Linked DNA regions of Cricetulus griseus. The protein of the gene in region 2 purifies or fractionates together with the protein of the main gene of each other region. This does not show direct contact. Links are inferred from orthologs where the notes say so. Each region holds a gene or a part of one and is shown on either strand. Other genes may lie near its edges. The genes, in order: Pds5b and Cdca5.

Region 1 (3,812 bases), on a different chromosome or scaffold from region 2:
AATAGTTAGTAGCCTGTTGTGAATTTTACAACAGTCATCTGATAACAGTTTTAAATATCTCACTCCTGTAATTCACCTTTTTTTCTAATATCTGGACATCATAAAGTTAAGGGCTCAAATGGTTGTGATTTTCCTTCAAGTTTCATAGCTCTTCCCATGAACATTCAAAGCCTAACTATATCTTTTTCAAAATCAGGGCAGAAGGAGACTTTTTGTTCTATCTTATACTTTCTGGACAGTTCTTTTTCAGAGCTGAAATAATACCATGTTATAATTTGTGTTTTGTGTTCTAACTGTAATGTAATTGAAAACATTATCATTATCATCCATGTAATTCTGTATGGTGGCACATAACAGACAAGAGCAGGTAGGCAGTCACTAAGGAGTCACATATATATGTCTGGTATATGTCCTGAAAATATTTAGGGCGTTATAAGAGAATACAGTGGAAGGACCTGGGAGTTGGGAAAGTTTTCTTTTTGGAATGTGTCGGTGAATAGATTACTTGAAAATACAAGGAGAGATGAGATGAGATGGTTCAGTGGTAAATACATTTGCTGCCAAGCCTGACTGACTGAGTTCAGTCCCCAGTACTCACATGGTAGGAGAGAACCAATTTTCTCAAGTGTCCTTTGACCTCCACAGGTGCACTGTGGCACACATGTTAACACATAGTATATAAATACAAAACAGAAGTAGGAGATAGTAGGGAGAAGACAATTTGGATTGGCAGAATACTATAGTTGAATTTTCTGAAGGTGTGAAAAAGTTGGTAAATCCAAGAAACTGGAACAATCAGGGGATTTACTGGATTGTAACTGCCAGGAATAGACTGGTAGGCCAGGACCATCTGAAGGAACACACAGTGTTATTCTCAGGTCCTTGCAGGGGTTTGTGTGCAGCGACACCACCTGTTCTGTTTTTGAAGGTCATTTTGTAAAAAGGAACCGTCAGAGGTAGCACATCGGTGGGGAGGAGTGAGTGGGTTCATTTCCTCTGTGTAGTTTTGGAGGGTGAGAGGAAAGGTGCACAGTTGTACTCAGAGGATGCTGCTCAGAGTGGCTTAGTGGGTCAGATGTTCTGTGATGAGGAGGAAGGATGAAGCAGGCATCAGCTTCAGGTTGTCATGAAGTCCTTTGTATAATCTGTTAGAGTATCACAGTAATGCTTAGGATCAAGATAGAAATTTATTTCTTATGGTATAATTGAGGATAAAAATGACAAGAATGCATACATGTGCTATTTTAGGATATTTCTTCCAGTGAGTTAATCTACAACTTAAGATCGGAACTCTCATTTCATTTAATGTGTTTTGCTTTAGCCGTGTAGGACGCTCCAAACAGACAGCTACTAAAGAAAATGATTCGAGTGAAGAAATGGATGTGCTTCAGGCCAGCTCTCCTATCAGTGATGACACTGCACAGGAAGGAGCAGAAGAGGAGGACATTTCTGCAGGAAATGTATGTACTTATTGAAGTGTCCTGTGTGTTGTTACAAAGGGCACAAACAGAGCCAATAAATGCTTAGTCAGCTCCATTTAGCACTTGCTATGTATTGTCTGTAATTCTAGATATTTGTGCTTTGTTCATTAGTTTGTCGTGTTACTTACTTACCAGCTTGAATTATGGGAGAAACAACTCTGAGAGGAGCTTGAATAACCATGACGGATGTTGTAATGTCTAGTGAACCTGTCAGCTGAATGTTGAGTGGTGTGACACTGGTATCTGTGAAATGTTTGTTTCTGTGTTAGAAAGCAGAAGAAAGCCACACTGACTAAAACTGAATCTTGAAGTAAACTCATCCTTCAGGATTGAAGTGTGATCTGGCTTTGTATTGGCACTGGGTGCTGCTTCTGAACTTTGTTCTTGTAGGGAATAAATGGTGGTGCTAGTTACCACATACTTCTCATTAGAAGAAAATAAAATTAACACAAATAGCCGTTTTCTTGACACATTAATGCAAAGATTTTTAGATCAGCTCAGTTTTCTTCATCTGGAAAACTTGAGTTTGGTCAGTTCCCAGAGCTGGCCTCTGCAGGTTGCTTCTGCTTAATATGTTCAGCAGTCCTATCTGTCCAGTTTGGTTTATATGAGTCTCACTTGAAGTGTCTCAGAGCCGCTCTGCTTTGTTTCGTAAGGACTTTGAGGAGAGGGATTTGAAAGGAAGACTGAATCATCCATAGTAATGGAGAACAACTGTATGTTAGGTCGGTTCTCTTAAAACCCTGCTCCTTTTACTTATGCTGTTTTTTGATTTTTCGAGTCAGGGTTTCTCTGTTGCTTTGGAGCCTGTCCTGGAAGTAGCTCTTGTAGTCCAGGTTGGTCTTGAATTCAAAGAGATACCCCTGCCTCCCGAGTGCTGGGACTAAAGGCATTCACCACCACCGCCTGGCTACTTACGCTGTTTTATACCAATGTTGTTGGATTTGTTTTGGTTTTTGTTTGGTTTACTTTGGTTTGGTTTGGTTTTTTGAGACAGGGTTTCTCTGTTTAGTCCTGGCTGTCCTGGAACTTGCTATGTAGACCACACAGGCATTGAACTCACAGATTAAAGGCGTGCGGCACCACTGCCTGGCTCCTGACCTTATTTTTTAATCCAAGTTTTAAGCTTCTTGTAGGCCTTGCTGGTAAATGGTAGTATGTTTGAACTTGAGGTTGTGTAGATGTCACTGCAAGTGTTGGGAGCCAAATTCACTAACCTCTGTCTCAAAATGGCCTAGTCCAAGAGTCAAGTGTGTTCTTTGCCACAAAAAGTAAGGAGAAAGATGATCAATCTGAAGATAATTGCTTGCAGGCTTTTCCATCTGCAGACATCCTAGAGGCCTAACTACCTGAAGATAGGAAGAAAGAGGGAGACAGTTTTAGGGAAAAAAATGCAAAGAAATTCAGAAGTGTGCAAGAATAAAGATTGTGTTAAACTCAGTGGTTGTTACTGTGAACGTGAATGTGCTCGCCTTAGTTATCTGTTGACTTTTCTCTTCAGGTACGACGGAGAAGTTCCAAACGAGAGAGACGGTGAACATGCCAGAAACTTGCAATGTGAAAGCTTTGGGGGAAAAACATTTTTTTTTTTTCCTTTGGTCAAGTATGAGGCTAAATAAAGCCTTTGATGCACAAAACAGGACTGCCAAAGTGTGGACAGTTGGACCTTTGACCATGAATTTGTGGTCACATACGTCAGCCATTCACATAGTGATAACATTGACTAAAAAAGAGTTTTGTGAAAGTGTCATGTGTGATGGCTGTGTAGACATAAACTAAAGAAGAACCCTGTAAATACGCCCTCCCCATTTCTGACTTCTAAAGTGCTTGTATAGCTTTTCTCTGCGGCTTTAAACTGACAGTGCCCAGCTGCTTACTGGATCTCTTGATCTGAGAAGCATTTGTTAGGATGGATCTCAAGCAGTAGTCTGTCAGGGTTTGTATTTGTATTCTCTGCAATTTTACTGTGAACATTGGTTTTTTCAACAATTGGTGTCATTTTCTTGATGTCACTGTTTGTTGGAGTTAAGTAGTCTCTTCCTCTCTTTGTATCTCGCCTGTGTTTACCCAGGGCACCCTTCATCCCGAGAGGTGCTAGAGCGTCTGCCATTACACTAGAGCAGCGCAACTGTCAGGAGGACACCACACAGATTGTGAAATAGTCCTCAAGTTATTTGATGACTTTACACCTCAGTATTGGTCCCAGAATTTTCTGGCCTTTCATGGCAATGAAAATTTTAAGAAAGAGATTTAAAATATTTTAATTTTAAAGAGTGTGTTATAAAATAATGTACTAAATTCTTTATTCCATTCTATCATCTTTTTTCAGTT
Region 2 (4,324 bases):
TTCAATTCCCAGCAACCACATGGTAGCTCACAACCATCCGTTATGAGATCTGGTGCCCTCTGCTGGTGTGCAGATATACATGGAGGCAGAATGTTATATACATAAATAAAAAAAAAAAAAAAAAAAAAGCAAGGCAGAACAAGGTGAGTGGTTGTAGTGCATGCCTTTAATCCCAGCACCCGGGAGGCAGAGGCAGGTGGATCTCTGTGAGTTCGACCAACCTGGTCTACAAGAGCTAGTTCCAGGACAGCCTCCAAAGCCACAGAGAAACCCTGTCTCGAAAAACAAAAACAAAAAACAAAACAAAAAACACAGATGGGTGTGGTTGGACACACCTTTAATCCAGTACTCAGGGGCAGGAGGACCTCTATGAATTGATGCCAGCATGGTTTACAGAGTGAGTTCCAGGACAGGCAGGGCTATACAGAAAAACCCTGTCCTGAAAACAAAAGGATGCCATCAGAAGTGGTACCACCTCTAAATACTACATCCCCATCCTCTTGCGGCCACACAGCCACCCAGACTGTACTACTTTTTTTTTTGTTTGTTTTTCTTTTTCTTTTAGTTTTTTGAGACAGGATTTCTCTGTGGCTTTGGAGGCTGTCCTGGAACTCTCTTTGAAGACCAGGCTGGTCTCGAACTCATAGAGATCCACCTGCCTCGGCAAACCACCCCTGCAATGCTGAGATTAAAGGTATGCACCACCAACACCCTGCCAGATTGTACTTTTTGAGAAAGGGTCTCTTTATGTAGACCAGGCTGGCCATGAATTTGGAAGTCCTCACTTTTAAGGTAGTTATGTTTAGAGGGAAAGATATCAAACATGTAAGCAAGTACTCTACTAGATGATGATAAAGTAACCGCAGAGAAATGGGTCAATGAACTATAGTAGTCAGGAAGCTCTCCAGGAGGAGGTGTGATAGGACATGTGTCCAGCCATTATCTTAGTTGGGGCCTAATCATATTAACTCAAGGCTCTCCCCTTGGTCCCAGGGTTGCAATGAAATCACTCACATACTCCTAGAGAAATCTTTCTATGACATCCCAGCTTTACTCTCTCAGTACCTCAGTTCAAAAGCTGGCTGTGATTATCTCAACAGCAGGGCACCTGCTTAGCATGTGTGATATCCTGAGATTGACCTCCAGCACCACACATCAGGATAAGAAATCAAACTAGGGACTATAATCCCAGAACTCTTGGGGCTTAGGAAGGAAGATAGCCTTGACTTCAAGGCCAGCCCATCTTACTCAAAGAGTACCAAGCCAATCAGACCAACTCAATAACAAAACCTTGTTCAAAGAACAAAATATCATTGGGTATAGAGATGCACAGCTGTAATTCCAGTACTTGGGTGTTTGAAGCGAGAGAATCAGGAATTCAAAACCAGCATTAATTATACACTAAGTTCAAGGCCAGGCTTGGCTATATGAGACACTAATACACTATCTCAAAAAACAAGGTGTTCACAGACAAATGACAAAAGTCCTTAAAAGTTCTACCAAAACTATAAAAGCATGTACATACAACTCATCTTCAAGATGGGGTTTCTCTGTGTAGCTCTGGAGGTTGTCCTGGAACTCGCTTTGTAGACCAGGCTGGCCTCGAATTCACAGATCTGCCTGCCTCTACCTCCTGAGTGCTGGGATTAAAGGCGTGCGCCACCAACTCCCAGCATATAACTCATCTTTTACAGTTTGTATTTTGTATGCACGTGTCCATGGAGGCCAGAAGAGGACACTGAAGCTACAGATGGTTGACATCCATCTGATTTGGGTGCTGAGAATTACTCTTTCCTTTTTGTAAACATTTACTTAGCTGGGTGGTGGTGGTGCACAGCTCAGGAAGGCAGAGGTGGATCTCTGTGAGTTTGAAGCCAGCCTAGTCTACAGGGTGAGTTCCAGAGCTATACAGAGAAAACCTGACTTGAGAAACAAAACAAAACAAACTAAACCCAACAACATTAAAAACTAAAAATGAAGGAAAGTCCTGATAGCATGGACTCATTTAATCCTTGGTACCATCACTGGGGAGACCAAGGCAGTTGGATCTCTGAGTTTGAGGCTAGCCTGGTCTACAGCAACTTTCAATTCAGGACAACAGTGTTACACAGTGAGATCTAAAGTGACAATTCATAAAGGTGTCAAGAGGCAAGTTGTTCTCAGCTGCCTGGGTGGAAGTGGTGCTTAGTATGTCTACCCTTTTTTCTAAGGAGAACCGGATCCCATACAAATAAGCAGGTGGAACTGAACTCACCCTAGGACTCCTTCGAAGTGTGTGGACAGCTGGGACCTGTAGAGATAACATCAACCCATCAATCAACAGCTTAGCCGGTTTGACATCTCACTCTCAAATCCCTTTTAGTCCCTCACCTCTACTGCATGAGCCACGATCTTCTTCAAGATGATAGCCTTTCTGACCGGAGCCGCTTGAGGTGTCTGAAAAGAGGGGAAAGGGTTACCATGAGCTTTACATTTGTTCAAAGCTTTACATTAGGTCAGTACCTGAGGAACTCGGATCTCACCTTCGGCCATATTTCAGGAAAGATGTTTGGGAGATCTGAGCCAGATTTCCGCTGGGACCTCTTCGAAGACTTAATAAATGGAGTCTTGGGTCCTGGAAAGGGAAATATGTTTAAAGATAAGCAAAACTTTGTTCGAGGAAAAAAATAAAAAACCAAACGAAACCAGGCGCTTGACGAGTTCGGAAAAGCTGACGCCGTTTTCCAACTTGCCCGGGAGCTAAGTTTCATTGTCCAAACGACACGGCCCTACGGCTGTCGAGCGTCCTCCACTCACCAGGCCGCTGCGCGGCCCCTCCGGACCTCGTTCGCCGCTCCGACATATCTATGGTCCGGCTCAGTCTCCTTCACCACCGTAGCCAACTTAGGCTCGCGCCAACCGGGAAGTTTGTTCCTGCAAACGTTCAAATCACCCGCCAGCGGGAAGGCGGAATCGGAAGTGACGCAAGAAGAAGGCTGCCCCTTGGACTATGCCTTTGTCGTCTCAGGTTTACGTCTTGCGTGGGCAGAGGCGTGGCCTGATGGCGCTGTGGCGTCATCAGAGCGCGCCGCACCCGGAAGAGACGTGGCAGCGGAGGGATAATCAGAGCGGCTGGAGCCGAAGGGAGCAGAGCTTCAGCTACCGGAGTGGGTCAACACAGTCTCCGACCTTCTGCGCTTCCCACCACAGTACGCACCGGTCGCTACCGGTACCGCGGAGGTTCTCTGAGACTCAGCATGGGGTCTGCCGGATGGGGGTGGGGTCAGGAGGGGGTGGGGTCTTAGGGGCGGGCTGGTGTTATTGGAGTAATTGATGGAGAGATCTGGCTAGGGGCTGGGTCCTGATGGAATGAGTACGGTCTGTGCTGGGGGCGTGGCCGTACCCGTGCTGAGGACTAGTGTGGGACGGGTCTGAGAGATTAAAAAAAAAAAAAAAAAAACGAACTAGGTTGGTAAGAACAAAGTGGCAATCACATGAACCTGGTTTCCTGTTAACTCAGATCCTCTCTCTAGGATCGGTCATGGGCCTTTGCAAGTGCCCCAAGAGGAAGGTGACAAACCTGTTTTGCTTCGAACATCGAGTTAACGTCTGTGAGCACTGCTTGGTAGCCAATCACGCCAAGGTGGGACGTTCAGAGCGGTGGCTGAGCAGGGCACTGGGTGGGCAGGCCAGTCTCCTTCCAAATCCATGAGGGACTCAACGCTAGATTGTAAGCTCCACAAGGGCAAGGACTTGGTTTATGTTGCTCTCTGTTAGACCTCCAGTAGGTGCTCAGTAAGTGTTCATTGACTAAACACACAAAATGAATCTGATGAAAGAAACAAGGCACTTGGGCCTTGGAGTAGTATATTAATCGTAGAGCCTGGGCACCAGTTGTGACATCTCTTTTCCACTCCAGTGCATCGTGCAGTCCTACTTGCAGTGGCTACAAGATAGTGACTACAACCCCAATTGCCGCCTGTGCAACACACCCCTGACCAGTCGAGAGACAACCCGTCTTGTCTGCTATGGTAAGGCCTGGGCACTGGGAAGGGGTCAGGGCAGCCCCAGGATCCAGCTTGGAGACTGGTTTGCTGGCACCTTTCAAGCTTCGAGACAATAAGTCTCTGAAACCTGGAGGCCAGAGCCTCTGATCCCAAATCTGTTAGGTACTTCCCTGCTTCGTAAGCCTAATCAAGCCTTGTCCCTTCCACAGCCTCAGTGTCTTTCCTTCCTGCTCTGCCAGTCTTGGAGAGCTGGAGATGACTGATCTGTGGCTGTGAGCAAGATCCATTTTTGGGGAACGTTATTAATTCCAAGACTGGACAGAAAGGAAGCCTCACTC

Evidence for each region.
Region 1: the proteins of Cdca5 (region 2) and Pds5b purify together in Homo sapiens (affinity purification with western blotting; 4 studies listed by BioGRID and IntAct, with this or other methods). This does not show direct contact. The link is inferred for Cricetulus griseus from reciprocal best matches to the Homo sapiens genes CDCA5 and PDS5B.

The regions. Positions count from the first base shown.
Region 1 is NC_048597.1:86,600,200-86,604,011, forward strand, and holds part of Pds5b (sister chromatid cohesion protein PDS5 homolog B), read left to right. Parts: intron 1-1,321; coding exon 1,322-1,460; intron 1,461-2,982; coding exon 2,983-3,018; 3' UTR 3,019-3,812. UniProt on the Homo sapiens protein: Regulator of sister chromatid cohesion in mitosis which may stabilize cohesin complex association with chromatin. May couple sister chromatid cohesion during mitosis to DNA replication.
Region 2 is NC_048596.1:53,261,758-53,266,081, forward strand, and holds the start of Cdca5 (sororin), read right to left. Parts: upstream 2,979-4,324; 5' UTR 2,843-2,978; coding exon 2,797-2,842; intron 2,615-2,796; coding exon 2,523-2,614; intron 2,437-2,522; coding exon 2,371-2,436; intron 2,291-2,370; coding exon 2,255-2,290; intron 1-2,254. Other genes in the region: Zfpl1 (zinc finger protein-like 1), read left to right, coding at 3,041-3,188, 3,513-3,622, 3,899-4,010. UniProt on the Homo sapiens protein: Regulator of sister chromatid cohesion in mitosis stabilizing cohesin complex association with chromatin. May antagonize the action of WAPL which stimulates cohesin dissociation from chromatin.